2 linked regions of the Diceros bicornis minor genome follow. The protein of the gene in region 2 interacts with the protein of the main gene of each other region in a biochemical or structural test. Links are inferred from orthologs where the notes say so. Each region holds a gene or a part of one and is shown on either strand. Other genes may lie near its edges.

What was found. The genes of interacting proteins can lie anywhere in the genome.
Region 1: the proteins of SEMA4D (region 2) and CD72 form a complex in vitro, tested with the Homo sapiens proteins (2 studies listed by BioGRID and IntAct). The link is inferred for Diceros bicornis minor from reciprocal best matches to the Homo sapiens genes SEMA4D and CD72.

What each region holds. Positions count from the first base shown.
Region 1 is NC_080767.1:4,063,570-4,071,264, forward strand, and holds the start of CD72 (B-cell differentiation antigen CD72), read right to left. Parts: upstream 3,031-7,695; 5' UTR 3,020-3,030; coding exon 2,938-3,019; intron 2,822-2,937; coding exon 2,717-2,821; intron 2,223-2,716; coding exon 2,147-2,222; intron 1,894-2,146; coding exon 1,787-1,893; intron 1,683-1,786; coding exon 1,593-1,682; intron 1,258-1,592; coding exon 922-1,257; intron 1-921. UniProt on the Homo sapiens protein: Co-receptor of B cell receptor (BCR) that plays both positive and negative roles on B-cell functions. Recognizes the Sm/ribonucleoprotein (RNP) self-antigen ligand, and coligation of CD72 and BCR inhibits BCR signaling.
Region 2 is NC_080761.1:56,672,634-56,680,352, forward strand, and holds the start of SEMA4D (semaphorin-4D), read left to right. Parts: upstream 1-4,654; 5' UTR 4,655-4,727; intron 4,728-7,719. UniProt on the Homo sapiens protein: Cell surface receptor for PLXNB1 and PLXNB2 that plays an important role in cell-cell signaling. Regulates GABAergic synapse development. Promotes the development of inhibitory synapses in a PLXNB1-dependent manner.

The DNA of each region.
Region 1 (7,695 bases), on a different chromosome or scaffold from region 2:
CCTGCCTTTCAGCAGAAGAGCAGTTTGGGATACTGAGGTCTAGGGTGCAGCTGAGGGGACATGTAGCAGCACTGGCAAGGAACTGAGGGTCATAGAGAATAGGAAGGTTAAAGAAATGAGGGCTGGGGGTGTCCGCACATGATCTCGCTGTCTAAGCCTTGGGGGAGTATCCAGATGGCCCCTGAGCTAGACAGAGCCTAACCTCAAACATAGATAACCAGTTCATGAACACACCAGTCCCCTTGGGCCTGGCACCCTGCCTCGAACCTCAGCCTGCTTTGGCACAGCCTCTCCCCTTTTATGTGTCCCCTCCCTCATCCCCACATACCGGCTTGACTCCTGCTCTTAAAATGGATGAACACTCCACCCCAATTCCCTACCCCGCGAAACCCCCACCCACCTCACTGTGAGTGCCACCCACACTCAAGAGCTTCAGCTGCCTTGCCCTACCACCAGACTGCACCTTGTCAATCAGTAGTTCTCTATCTTTTGGGGAATCTCAGATGTAGTGAGAATTAATTAAAGCTATAGACACTTTCTTTAGAAATATGGGCAAACAACCAATTTCACATCCAAATTCAGGGAGTTTCCAGATCCTTGACACTGATGTCAAGCCAGATGAGACCTGAGTTTGCTGCTTTGGACAGTATGATTTGCATTGCTGGCTGCTACCCTCCTCTCCACCTCAGGATCCGCCTTAAAGCTGGGCGAGTCCCCCTAACTCCAGTATGCAGCTAGATCCTTCTCCCTGTTGGTCAAGGCTGCACAGCTCATGTCAGCCACCACTCTGGTTCACTACTCCTTTCCTGAACAAGTCAGTGGCTCCCTGATAGACAGACAGACCGCTGCCCCAAGTGTCTCCTCACTTCAATCCATCCCTCACAGCAGACCCTCCCATTTCTCCTCTCCCAGAGCAGATACCTGATGAGGGGCATGTGAAGAAGGGCCTCAGTGTGTCCTGCATGCTGCTCAGCCTCTGTTCCAGGTTCCTCCTCTCCTCCTCCTCCCTTTGCAAGTCCTCTTTTGTCTTCTCCCTGTCGGACTGGCAGGCCTGCAACTGCTCTTTGGTAGCCAGGCCAACTTTCTGTTCCACTTGCAGTGCTTCCTGAGTCTGGGCCAGCTCCCTACGGGACCCCTGCAGAGCTGCTTCCCTCTGCCCCAACTGGGTCATCTTTTGGGTGAGCTGCTGTCTCAGGCTGCTGTTAGTGGCTTCCAGAACCCTGTTCATCTGCTGGAGCTGCTGAGACACCTGCAGATCTGTTTGGCCATAAAGAGAGATTTGGAGGGTGTCTTCTTCAGCCGCACCCTGGTGCCGGGAGACTTCAGTGCCAGTCCTTTTTCTGCTTCCTGCAACTTTCTGCATAACAGGCTGAAATATAGGATCTGACCACCTACAGCTTAAGGAGGTACTGGATTAGGTAAGGACAATTTAGGAAGATGGCCTTCTAAAACAGACCTGGCTGGAAACCAGATGGAAAGCTAAGGATGTGGTGGTAGTGCCCCTGGGCCTTGCTGAGGAAGAGCAGCCGTTGGGGAGAGCAGAGGAGAAAGTCGTTAGGGGTAAGTGGGAAGTGGGGGTCAGCCATACTCACAGCGCACTCCCAGGCAGATGGAGGCCACCCCCAGCAGCAAGCAGGTGAGGAGCGCGCCGAGCACGAGGTACTGCCTGAAGGCTGCACGGCCTTAGGGAGACAGTGGGATGAGGCCGGTGAGCCCCAGGAACCAGTTTACAGACTGGGGGATGGGTGGGTGGGGAGATTCATGGGAAAGAGCATCCCTCGACGACCTGGGGCAGGCATGGCTGTTTGTGTCGGGAGTGAGTTTCCGCAGGTAGCGGAAGAAGGTGTTCCAGAATAAAGGTTGACGATTGTTACCGGTAAGGAGTGAGGGGCACTACCCGGTAGGAGTGGAACTGTCTCAGACCGAGACAGGGGAGTGGGTATGTGAATGGGACCATCGTAAGGGGGGCGGGGGGGGGGGGTCTGGGGCGACACGTCGGAAAGATCTATACGAGGACGAGTGAAGGAGTTGGGGAATGGTCCGGGGCCTCCCCGGCTCACCACCGACCAGAGCCGCCCCCGAGGACCCCGCAGCGCCGGCCGGGACCCGCCCGGGGGCGCGCGTGCGCTGGGCGGGGGCGCCGCACTCAGCGCGGAGGAGGCGCCTGGCCGCCGACGACGTCACGGAGCTCCGCGCGGCGGGCGGCGGCTGCGACTGGAGCCCTGCGGACCGGCGGCTCCAGCTGGATGAGGGAGGCCCGGAAATGTCCCTTCCCCCACCCCGGGCTCCGCTGCGCCGGGGCCCCCAGCACTCCCGGGATCTCCCGTGTCCCTCCCGGGTCTACCTGCTCTTTCCCCGGGGACCCCCTCTTCTCCCTCCCGGGTCTCCCTTTATCCTTTCCTCAGGGGCCCTCATCTGCCGGTCCCAGACCCCCTCCCCAACCCTGCCTTCCCTCTCCGTAGACTCCCCATCCCCGCTGGGACTCCCCTCCCCCAGGGCTGTCCCGATCCCACAGCGGAGCCCTGATCTTCCCCTGGGATCTCCCCTGCCGCAGGGAGCTTCATTCTCCCCCTGGCTCCCTTTATCCAGTGCTCACGCTTTTCTTTCTTAAGAACCCTCTCCTTTCCCCAAGGATCTTGTCCTCCCAAGAATGCGGACTGTGGCCTCCCAGCTCAAGACACAGCCCCCGACGAACACATACCTGGGCTCTCCATACCTGCTTTGTCCCCTAGTCCAGCAGGAGCCGAGCTCGAGCCCCCTGGAACTGGGGGCACCTGTACGTTCTCATAGGTGAGTTCCCCGTCCTCGTCAGCCTCTGGATCTGGAGATGAGAGAAAAGGGAGCAAGGTGGGAGTCGGAATGGGGTCTATAGAGTGGGGATGGGTTATGAAGGAGGTTGGGGATGCAGAGTCAAGGAGAGGGCTCATGCACCCTTACCCTGTCCTACTCGGCTGGCGATGCCCTTCTTCAGGGGAGCCTTCACAAACCGCAGGTCTGCATAGGTGATGGCCTCAGCCATGGTCCTGAGCTTCTCTGCCCCCACCTGTCTCCCCAGTCTCCCAATGGCCCAAAGCCTCCCTTGCCACGCTCCCCTCTGTCCCTTCACACTCGTAGGTTCTGGGTTCACTCTGTGACCACCCAGCTTAGTGCTCTGCCCTGTGACTTCCAGTCACAAAAGAGGAAGATGTGAGCAAGTCTCAGACAGATGGGTTTAGTGAAGCGGATTGCATCCTTGAGTCCTGGTCAGAGGAGCAGGGGAGGGCAAACTGAGGTCCAGAGCATGTGGTAGGGGTGGGGGTGTCACAGGACCACTACTCAGGCCTGTCCCTGTGTCCTGCCTGTGCTCCCCATCATGCATCCCAGACCCACTTGGGCGGTGCTGGGCTTCATGCCCATCCTTCTGCTCATCTACCCTGATCTGCCCCACACTTCTCTCCTGGCTGCAGCGTCCACAGGCGTATCTATGCGTAGTCAGAGCTCTTTTGTGCTCAACTGACCCTAGAGGATCTCCCCAATGATTGCTCCAGGGTGGGGCCCCACCCTTCTCATCAAATTGGGGAGATTCTAGTGTGGAGCCCTAGTTCCTCATCATCCTGGGGTTCCTAGCAGGTATGGGTTCCCATAGAGGGGTCCCTAAATTGGTGAGGCGCATCACCCTATCGGTTTGGGGGCTTTCAGAGTGGACTCAGCTCCTCTCCTGCTGTAGTCCCACAGAGCTGCTGCAGATCCCACACACAGGGAGGTTCTCTGTCTGAAGCCCTTCCTGGGAGTGTGGTAGCCCTTTAGAGGATGCAGAGGGTCTGGGACCAAACTGTTTCTCCTCTGTAAACACCCCAGATCCCCTCTTCACAGCCTTGCCCTGGCCCCCTCCACCCTTGTTGCCAGAGTGATCACACCTGTGGCCAATCAGCCCCTTCCTCATCCCATCTTGCCCCCTGCCAGACTCATAGTGTCCCCTGTGTCCCAGTATCTGAGCTGGATCCAGCAAGCTGAGTCCAGGAGCCAGGGGCTCTGGGATAGGCCTGGGCTGTCCTGAGGAGGAGGGACCACCCCAGCTTGTGGAAGAGCCTGCTGTACTGACCGCTCATGAACTCTTGTGGGGAGTCAGAGGGCAGGCGAGCAAAGGAGAATGAGGAAGGGCTGCAGCTTCTCAGAGGGGAGCAAAGAGACAAAGCAGCAGGGTGCTGAGCATACTCTGTACCAGCTGAGGGTTTGATATTTTCTTGGTTTGGTTGTGATTCCTCTCTTACTTCCCTAGTAAGGTTCTTCTTTTAAAAAGTCCCAACATTGTCCCATTACACCCAGCCCCGAGGAAAAAGGAGCATTTATGGGGGAAGACTAGGGGCTGAGGGGCTCATTGGTGGTGAGGGCCTGGCTGATGGAGGAGGGGGACACAGTGGGGAGGAGGGGGCAGCTGAGCAGTGGTTCAGAGTTGCTCCCTAACGTTCTTTTACCAGGGTGTGACCCCAAAAAGGCCTTCTTCTGGGGGTGAGAAGAGGCTAGGACAAGACAAGATATGAAAGTGGGAAAAAACCCACCCCCAATGGGTGACATCCGCCCCCTCAGAAACTCCCCTCTGCAGCTGTGGGGAGGGAAAGCAAGGGGAAAGAGGTCCTCACCGCACGCTAACCGCTAACAGCTCATAGTGTATGGTTAGTGGTGTGTGGAGGAGCACTGTGGTGGGCCCGTGGGGTGGTCTAGAGCTCTGCCAGACAGCACCACCCATCCCACTCCAGAGAAAGTGCCCACTGAGGCAGAAGAGTATGTTTGTCCCCCGAGGAAGGAGCCAAAGGGAGAGGCAGGTGTGTGCATGTGTGTGAGTGTGCATGCATGCACATGCATCCCTGGGTCCTTGTGGTCTGTTGGGGTGTCTGTGTGAGGTGAGCGTCTATGTTAGGGCCTGTGTGGAGGGTTAAGCACGAAGGATTCTGTGGACTGAAAGATGCCTGTGATAGATGTTATTTTTATCCATGGCAAGGAATGACGGGCCATTTTCAGAAAAGTCTTAAAAGGTCATGGGGACGGATTCTACAAATATTTCCTTTCTAAGGCTCACTGCTTCCTAAGATATCCCTGCAGCTGTTAACCGTCCCCGCTTGATTAAAGTTTCCAACTACCCAGGCCCCTCCCCCAGGCACCCTGTCAGGGCCTCCCCCAGATAACAGGCAGTGGTATGAGTTGGTGACTCCCTGGGGGCCTCAGGGGCCCGTGAGAACGAGTGGGAGCGTGTATAGCAGCTGCTGGCAGGGTGGGTGGGGGCAGTCAGGGTACCTGTATCTGTGGTGAACGGGGTGGGGGGGCAGCATGTGTGTAAATCAACTGCAGGAAACTTGTAAGAATTCTGTAAACTGTAGCTAATGTCCCAGTTTTCAGAACCAGCACACAAGTGAACATGGCCTGGATGCCAGGTAAAGTGCCAAAACCAAGCTTCCAGTATGCGTTCAAAAAGAGTCCATGGGCTGGGGAGGGAGCTGGGACATGCTGAGCTGCACACCCACGATCCGTGGACGTCCTACACAGGCGGCTGCGTGTCTCTGCTCTAGCTCTTTTGGTGATGATTACGTATCTCCTTGTGACATTCTGCATTCTCTTCTGTGGCCTTCTCTTGTGAATACAGTGTGAGAGTGGGATCCTTCTCTATCCCCGTGTGTGTCACATGGGGTCTTTGTGATATAGACATTCACATTACCTTTCAAACCTGGACATCAGAAAGGACACCTGTAACTCCGAGCTGCACCTCACCCGCCCGGATGTCAGGACACCTGGAGGGTTTTCAGGAACTGAGGGGCCAGAGCCGTACATTTTGGCATTTCGAGGCCCATAATACCCTCTGAGATCCTAGAGGACAAACCCCAAAGCCCATTCCTCGCCCTCCCCTGACCTCACTGCTGCTTACTAGAGGGAGTGGTTGTTAAGGTGGACAGGAGGAGGGAGCCTGGCTCTGAGGGCAGCTGGGAAGAACGGGCCCTGTGGACAGGGGCTCATCTGTGTGAACTTTGGTGAAGTCCAGCCAACATCAAGAAGCCCAGGAAGTCTCCAGAGACTCCGCAAGTCAGGTTATATCTGTCTTCATTATTCTAATGCACTGGCTCTGGGAGGCCCTAATCTGCAGACAGGCTGTTGTAGGCAAAGCAATGGCCTCCCCAAATGTTCACACTCAAATCCCCAGAACCTGTAAATATGTTACTTTACCTGACAAAAAATTTAAATGTGATTAAGTTAAGGACCTTTAGATGGGGAGATCATCCTGTTCTATCCCTGTAGGCCACTCTAATCATGTGAGTCTTTGAAAGGGAGAAGCTCTCAGAGCCATGGGAAGAAAGAGATTCGACAGTGGAAGAAGGGGCAGAGAGATGCAGCATGAGATGGACTTCACCCAGTTGCTGGCTTCAAAGGTGGAGAAAGGAACCATGAGCCAAGGAATGCAGGCAGCCTCTGGAAGCTAGAAAAGGCGAGGAAACGGATTCTCCCCTAGAGCTTCCAGAAAGGAACCAGCCCTGCCGACACCTCAACTTTAGTCCAGCGAGACCTGTGTCAAACTTCTGACCAACAGACACGTAAGATAAGAAATTTGTATTTTTTAAGCCACTAAGTTTGTGGCAGTTTGTTACAGCAGCAATAGAAAAGTTTCCTGAACTGTGAAGGAAGCATGATGCAAAGAACATGGTATTATAGATAAAGAAGCCAGCCCTGCCACGGTGTGTGGCTTTGGGCAAGTCACGATTTCCTGTCTGTAAAACATGGGATTGTCAGATGATGTCTGACATCAATCAAGGGTATGATGGCTGCAGATTATAGTAGGTGTAGATTTTAACAAAAGCATCTTTAAAGTCTGTTGAAATAGCTCCAGAGTCAGGAGAGAGAACGGTGGGCCATCGATAGCACTGTTAAAGGGATTCGTGGCTCTTTGATCACTGAAGCCAAAGAGTGCTGGTGGGCCTCCCGTGACTACCTCAGGCCTCTGCTTGGTCCTGTCTTGAATGGTGACACAGAAAGCACATTCGTATAGCTGATGCAGAGAGCTGTCAGGAAAAGCAAATACACCGAAAGGCAGACTCAAGAATCTAACGTTGCAGCAGGGCAAAGTGACAGCTCCAAACCACAGAAGGAAGGTAATAAAGATAAATAATAATCGCTAGCATTTATTGACAAATCAAATTTGGGGTTCAAAAAATAAATTACATAAGCTTAGGAGGGAGGGAGTCTGGCTTAACAATAGTTGATGTACAAAAATTTGAGCGGAAAGGTGGTTATCAGGCATTTTGGAGGCTCAAGGGATCTTAGTGAGCCCAACTCACCTATTTTACAAATTAGAAAACTGCGCTCAGTGGACTGTAAGCTCGTTATGAACTAATCGCGTGACTAGGAGGGCTTGTGACAAAAGGCTGCTCCATAGGACTACAACTCCTTTACTAAACACATCAAACATTGTACCAGCCACACCCACAGCCACTGTTAAGGGGGACAAACCCCTGCTGATGGGGCAGCCCTAGACCCCCAAAAATGTGTTACGTGACCCCCACCTCCTCTGGCCTCAGCTGACTGAGATAACCAAGTGGGCAACTGACTCAAGGCTGGCCAGTCCAGAGACCAGCCAGTGGCCTGTGGGAAGGCCTGGCCTGGAAATCAGGGATGATGTGAGCTTATCAAATTTTCATTCTCAGGAATTTCAGTGGGAAAATACAGAGATGACCA
Region 2 (7,719 bases):
GAGTACTCGTCATCATTTTGGATTGAGGCTGCCAACCCCAAGCAGAACCAGAGCCAATCAGAGGGAAAGAAGGAGAGGAGTCAGCAAAAGAAAGATCAACAATTGCATCTCGGCCCCTGGATCTAGCTGTACCTGCAACCCTTTTAGATCTAAGTGAGCCAAGAGTCTGAGCTGAACTTCTGTCACTTGCAACCAAGAGTCCCATCTCCTTCATTAACGCAATAAACATGTCTGAGGGCGATTTTATACAAGCATTGTGTGGATGCTGGGAATCCAAAGTCCCTTCCCTTTAAAATACTAATTCTTAATCAGGATAGACTTTGGAGAGTCCATCCAGATGCAATGGATGGGAAAAAAAGAATTACATTTTTCCCACTAACCTCTAACTGCAGTGAGGCATTTCCTTCCAGGATCAATGAAGACAACAGAACACAGTCACGTTAGCCCAACGCACCCCCTGACCCGGCTGGAATCTCCGAGGTTGTCACATCACATCTCATGTACAGGGCAGCTCATCACGACCTCAGAATCACTACTTATCAGACCTGCTGCTAGAGTGTGTTACTCAATGTGTAAATAATGAAGCAAACGGATCACATTTTAAAATATTTTGACAACTGGATTTCAGTGTAATTGGTTTCCTTTCTAATCCTTTGTTTTATTTTGTGCATTTAAAAGCATTATTCTGAAAAGAGGCCAATAGACTTCACCAAGCTCCAGAAGCTCAGAATGAAGACCAGACTGAAAAGAGGCAGACCAGGAGACAGTAGTGGTGGCCCCCCGGTGAGCCGTGCGAGGCGACATCACAGAAGGTGGGGGCCGCCCGGCCGCGCCCGGGGTGCGTGGGGGGCGTTGGAGAAACAGTGCTCGGGCTGAGTTGCAGGGTAAGGCCTGATGGTCATCTGCCAGAGGCAGGGCACGGGAAGGAGCCTCGGCAGGGGCGGTGGCGTCGCCTTGGGGCTGAGGAAGGCGCTGCTGGTGCAGGTCACTCGAGGACACCAGCGCTGGTCAGGCTGCTACTCCGCCAGGGCAGCGTGCCGGCAGCCTGCTCTGTCGCCCGGATTCTCCCTCTCCCTGGGTCCAACTGGGGCAGTGCTCCGCTCCCTGGAGCGTTTACAGTCCCTGGGTCTGACCACGGAAGGCCACGTGGAAAGCGCTAGGAGAGAGTGCGGGAGGGCGAGATTACACCCCTTAAGCAGAGCGAGCCAGTGCTTTGTGCTCTGACAGCTAAAGTGCCGTGCAAGACGCCCAGAACAGGGACGGCGGCGCCGCCAGGCCTTCAGTGAGCTGCTGCAGCCCGAATGCAGCTTGCCGGAAAAGAGCCCTCGCGTCCAGCAGGGGTCCCGGTGGGGCAGGGGCCCAGGAGGGCGCTGGGGGCCCCCGGGCACTTCCCCTCCAGCTAAAGAGGGTGCTCTGGCAATGAGGTCCCCAGAAGAGCCCTGTGAGGGCCCTTTATCTTAGGGAGGCTGCCAGCAGGTGGGCTTCTCTGGAGTGGGGGAGGGACAGTGAGGGGCCATCAGCAGCCATGGCAGCACTCAGAGTGGAGGCCAGGTCCCAGGTGTCCACAAAGCACTTTGTGGTCACGTTCAAAAGTCATCTCCCCAGACCTGGAAGTAGGCAGTGGCCCCCCTCCACATGACTGAGCCCCTTAGGGCCCACGTCTCCAGGGACTGCCACTTCCCTCCACTTCGCCAGCCGAGTGCTCACAGGCTTGGGCTCTGGGGCTGCACCTGCGGCTGCAGGTGAAACACAACCTGCCAGCTCTTCTGGAACATTCCCTCCCTTGCTCAAATACTCCCCATGTGGACGATTGTAAAACCCCTCTCAGCCAACCACACACGTGTAGGGCCACACGGAGGAGCAGAGGTCGGGAAATGGTGTCTCTCTCGTGTCGGCATGGGTGACGGGGAGGCTGAGGAGAGCCTGTACCGCCTGAACCGCCACACCGCGCGTCTCCTCTCATGGGATTCCAGCATCACCTGGGCAGTCTCCTGGCGCATCTGCACACAGACAGCGTCAACCTTCTGGCGGGAAACGTAGAGCAACTTCACTAAACGTGGCCCACGTATCTAAACCTTCACCATTTCTGGGAAGCTCGAAGACAAATTGGTCGATATTCTGTCTTAGATACATTTCAAATTAGTATCAGAGGGGACCAGGAGTGGGTCAGAGGTGACACAAGATCGCCACCCCCGTGAGCGGGGGTTTGTTTGACTCTTATGCACATGTTTAAAATGTCCCGTAATAGAAGGTAAAGCAGCCACAACAAGAAGGAAGAGACAAACGGGGTCACTTTGTGTGACCCGGGAGGTCGTGTTCCAGGGAAGGCACATTTCTGGGGGCCTCCCAGGTGCTGGGGGGGTCGTGCTATTGTCTCATCGAATCCTCTCCTGTCCCAGTACACAGATGAGAGAACAGGCTAGGAGGGGTTTACGACTGTGGGAGGCCCTGAGGCCAGAGCATGGGCTCCAGGTCAAGTGTGCTCAGTTGGTTTCTGCTGTGCCTGGCGCCCTCGACTCTGCAGACGGTGAGGAAAGGAGAGTGGTAACTGCCATGCACCGCCCTTGACCAGATTAGAGCATGGCACAGTCTAGCAGCTGAGAGAGGCTCGGGCCGCATCCCCCTGCTCGGGCCCCCTCCAGCAGCCTCCTGCGGCCGCCCCAGAACCTGTCTAGACACTGGACGTGAGGGACATGCTCCTCAGGGGCGGCTGGCTCCTCCGGCAGGCAGGTCTGCCAGAAAGCGCTCACAGTGAGCGGAAATCTACTCCCTAATCTAATTTCCACCCATCTGTCCTCATTTTGCCTCTCCTAACCCCACGGGGTAATCCTTCTTCCCGGACAGCTTTGCAAATATTTGATGCCACTGTCCTGTGCTCCACACATCGATCTTCCAGCCTAAAAGTTCCGGGTCTGTCAACTACCCTCCCACGGCCTGCTGGTGGCTGTCCTTGGCACCACAAGGGTACTGTGTTCTAGACGTGCCTCACCAAGGACGAGTACAGGTGAGCCCTCCGTCTCTGCAGTGCTTGCCTTGATGGATCCTAAGAGCGGGGCTCTCTTCCGGGGGGGATGCTGTTGAAACAGTCATGCCCTAACCCCTTCCCATCAGGTGTTGGTCCACATGGGATAGGGGCAGAGATTCACGGATGCCCCCAACTGGAAGGGAGCTTGGAAAGGACGTCTCCCCACTTTCCTGTACAGTCACCAGCACCGAACTCAGAGCACACAGGGCTGCGAGCTTTTCCTGCAATTCTCTCCCTGTGCTCAGGCAACCCTGGAGATGGTGGCCTATCCTCACCCCGGGAAGGACAGGACAGGGCTCCCAGGGCACCTTGGAAGCATGGAGCCAAGACTCAACCTGTAGTCTCAGAGCCCAGGTCATGACCCCACTCTCAGAGTTGGGGGGTGAGCTCCCGCCCAGCCCTGCCTGCACCCTTGGCATGGCTCCGCCATCTTCCCGCTTTTGCTGGCCCGGGGTCCCGTCCACTGGCCCTAAGGCCCAGCTCTCCGGGTCCCAGCACAGAAAGGCAGGAGGCCCCTGAAGGCAACTGAGGCTCTTGGGCTGTCACTCGTCATTTAGGAGCAGCTTCATTTTTAAAGTCTCGCTCTGGCGCTCAGCAGCCGCGGTCAGTAGGAAGCGATTTCGGCTGCTCCGGAGGGGCTGCAGCCCAGAGAGCTATGGCCAGGCTTGGTGAGGGAGCACCCCGACTCCTGCGCGCAGGGAAAGCCTGGCTGGTTCATCAGGAACCGTGCCCTTTCCCGGGACGGTGTCCCTCAGCCAGTCAGTCACTGTCCCAGGCCTGTCACTTCTCCCTCGGGGGCGGGGGGGAGGCATCCTGGAGCAGTCCTTTGAGGGCACCCAGGTCCCCACACCCGTGGGTTAGTACAAATGTGTGTCACCTAGGGACTGGGGAACCCTTGGCCTCTGGAGTGGAAAATGGTGCACACTTAGCAAACAGTTGGCATGGGGCCCAGAGGACCATGGAAAAGCCTAGACAGGAGGGACCTGCCCGCCTCACACTGAGGGAATGGCAGGGGGCCTGGTTTGGAATGTTCTCCCCCAAAGTCAGATTTGCTTAGAAGCAAGGCAGCAAAGTGTCCCGGGAGCCCGCACGCTTTGCCCACACATCTGTGCAGGTCAGGTCCCCAGCAGAGCTGCACCAGGGGGTGCGGGAATCCTTGAGGGTTTGGAGAGGGCCTGGGAAGAGTGGGGTCAGGCCAGACTCCGGAAGGGGCAAGCTGGTCCATTAGCAGGTGGTGAGGAGTGGGTGACTGGGCACTTCATCAGAACCCGTGCTGGACCCAGGAGAGGCCAGGCCAGGACAGGCGGGCAGCCTCTGGGGCCGAGCGCACGGTGGGAGGTGGCAGAGGCGGTAGGAGGAGGAGGGCGGGGCAGAGAGGGAGTGGAGGAAGGTGAAGGAGGAGGAGGGAAGGGGAGGGGACGAGAGGGTGGGGAGAGGAGGAGGGCGGGGAGGAGGCGGAGGGAGGGGACAGGCAAGGGAGGAGGTGGGAAGGGGAGGAGGGGCGCGGAGGAGGGGCCTGCCTGCCGGCCCCGCGCCCTCGCGCGCCGCAGCATCCCCGCGCCTCCGGGCCGAGCCGGGCCTCCGCCGCCCTCCGAGCCGGGCCTCCTCCTCCGCCGCCGCCGCCGCTGCGGCCGCCATTCCTGCGCCCGTGCTCGCCAGCCGGGTCCCGCTCGGTGTCCGCGGCCAGGACGCTCCGCGCCAGGTAAGGGCGGGCGGGCGGAGGCAGCGCGCGGACCAGGCAGGTGCGCGGGGGCGGTGGGACCCTCCCCGGACACCTCCTGGAGCCCCCGCCCCGGAGCCTCGGACCCCCGTCCCCTCCCAGAGTGCCTTCCTCGGACCCCTCCCCGGACCTCCAAGTCCCCTCCCTTCCCCGCCTCCCTCCCGGCCCCGGCGCGCAGGTGGCTCCGAGCGGCGCGGGGGACGCGGGGGCGCGGGGCGCGCAACAGAACCAGGCCGGGAGAGGGGCGGCGCTCTCGGCCAGGCCCGCCGCTCTCCTGTCCGCCGGGCCCCCGCCGCGCTCCGGCCACTCCGGCCTGGCGGGGCCCCGCGGGTTCTATTTATGTCGCGGAGGCCGGGGCCCTGCGCGCAGGACCCGGAGCCGCGCACTCAGACAGGTGGGGCAGGTCGGGCCACGGCAGAGTGCTGCAGGCCTCGGCTTCCTTTAGGGTTTGGCTTCGTGGTTCTAGAAAGAGCCGAGGAGAATCACCAGCTTCGGCTCGGGCTGCACCTGTTGCAGGCGCCTGGTGAGCTGCAGGGAGCTGGATCCGCTGGGGTTTTGCCAGTGTAAACATGGAAAGGAGAGTAGGGTCCTCCTCTTCATTTATTTGATTTAGTATTGGGGGGCGAGGGTGCCTGGGAGTCTGTAGGTGGGCAGGTCACTGACAATGAGGCCTGTTGTCAAGGGCTGGGCCCTGCTTTCTCGAGCGTGTGCCGCGCCAAGTTGCTCTGCTTTTGTTTTGAAAATCTCCCCTTATGTTGAGCGGGTCCAGGCTGTGGGTGGCCAGGTGCCTGCAGGCCAGGCCCGACCTGGGGCCTGTGGCCAAGGGGCCAGCCCTCCTGTTCTGAGTCTATTCAAATCCACCAGGCGCCACCGAGTGGAAGTTTCCTTTCCAGGGAGTGAGGTGACACCGGTGGCCTGTCACCTCATATCTGCCCCAGGCCTGGGGCCTGCCTGCTGGCTGCCTGGGCGCCGTTATTTGGGAATGTTTACTGTGTCCCAGAAACAGGCCGCTTCTGCCAAGGCTGTGGCCAGGATTCTAGAAGAGATAATGCCCCGATTGTCACTTGAACGGTTGGTGTCTGTGCACATCGTCTGCAAGAATAAAGAAGAAGAAAGAGGCCTGCTCTGAGTACCCCTGGCACCATGTCCTTCCAGGGATAAAGCCTTCAGGAACGAGGGGACGGTGAGGGACACACCGGGGCGTTTCACACCCGGGAGGCCAGATCTTCAGACTGAAGAAGTGTCTGTAGTACACCCAGCAGGTACATTGGATCAGGAAATAAAAACTCATCGCTGGCACAGAGAGGCAGCTGTGCCGGGTCCCTCTCTGGCACAGTGTTGCAGAACCGGGAGCTGGCATAGGAGGGGGACTGGCTCCCCATGATGGGCTTCGCCATCTGTCCATCTGTCTGTCTGTCTGCCCTCTGAGACAGTGCCGGTGAGTTCCTCTGCCCGCCCTCCCGAGGAGCACATGTCTGTTAGAAAATGCAGTCTTGCAGAGACCCCATCCCCCGAGACTGGGGAACTCTGGTGGCCTTGCTCAGGGCCCTGGTGGGTGGTGCACCCACCCCGGCTGAGCTGTGGTGCAAGGCCATGCCACACAGCGGTCCAGTGGCTCTGGGCTGGGGAGATGACCTGATGACATCATCCGTGTGACCCCCTCTGTGTGGGTGTCCGAGGCAGATTCCGTGTCTCCACACCAGGCAGGGATGTGGAGGCCAGCGCTGGGAAGCGTGTGCTGATGGCCGGCTCTGAGTGGGGGAGGACTCGCCACCGCTGCCAGCACACGGCAGAATCAATACTGCTTTGCAAAGATCAATGGCTGTCTCGTCGGTCCTCTGTGCTTCTGGAGGGAGCCTGTCTCCCCACACCCTCCTTCTGGGTCCCATTTCTGGGGATGGGTGGGGTCGGGAGGGGGCTGCAGAGCCTCTTCTGCCCCCTTGTCCTGTGTGGTGAGCCTGGGGCCAGAGCTGCTGGGTTGGCAGCTGGGACCTGTGTCCCCCCAGGCCTCCCCAGTGTCCTGGGTTGGGCCCCTACTGCTATGAAAGTGAATTTGCTTCCTGATTGTTTATTTACAGCGACCTTCCCCGTCATGCTAAGAATTTGCTTGGTTGAAAGAACTTGGGGGGTGAGGTGGCGGGCAGTGCCCCTGTGCCCCCAGTCACCCGCCTCCAGGGTCTCGTGGGAGGGACAGCGGTGACCTGTTAACCGTCCGGTGTAGGGGTGGCCGTGGGGTGATGCTGGCCTCGTAGAGATGTACAGATGAATCTGCTGTCGGCTGACTGTCGAGGGTGGTCCCTGGGAGAAAGGCTCCGTCCTTGCAGGTCCCTCCTGGGGCCGCTCTTTCTCTCTCGACTTTTCCGGTTGCAGAGGGGAGAGGAGAGGTAAGAAGGAGGTTGGCTAGCAAAAGTGACAGAGGCATGGTGGGAGGCCCTCTCTCCCTCCCCCTGGGATCGGCAGGTGCAGTCCCACAGCTCCCCCGCGCCACTTGAGGCCCGTGGCCGTCTGGGGACATCTCTGGGTGTCACCCGAGAGCAGAGCCAGTCGAGCAGGCTCCTCTGCACTGGGGACTTTGCACAGCTCATGGCCCATCTGCTGTCGAGAGGCGACTCAGGAAAGCAGAGATTTATTAGGAGGAAGTATCTGCTGATTCAGGCAAGTGGAGACGGCGGGCGAGGGGGCCTCGCCTGGAGCTGGGTGGTGCTATTCAGCATGCCAGTTAAGGTGATGCTCGGGATGAGTGAATTGGCTCATCTCCATTCCGTGGAGTGGCTCGCTTTCCAGTGAGCCTGACCCCCACCCAGTGCACGGACGTGTACCTGGCAGTGCCACGCTGGGCCAGCTCCATGCTGCTGCTCCTGGCATTACAGCAGCCCGGGTGCCGTCCCCCCACAGCTGCCTCCCCTGCCTGCCCCCTGTGTGAGCCTGCAAGGGACCGGGCGGGCATTTGGTCTCAAAGTCTCAGGTCCTGCCC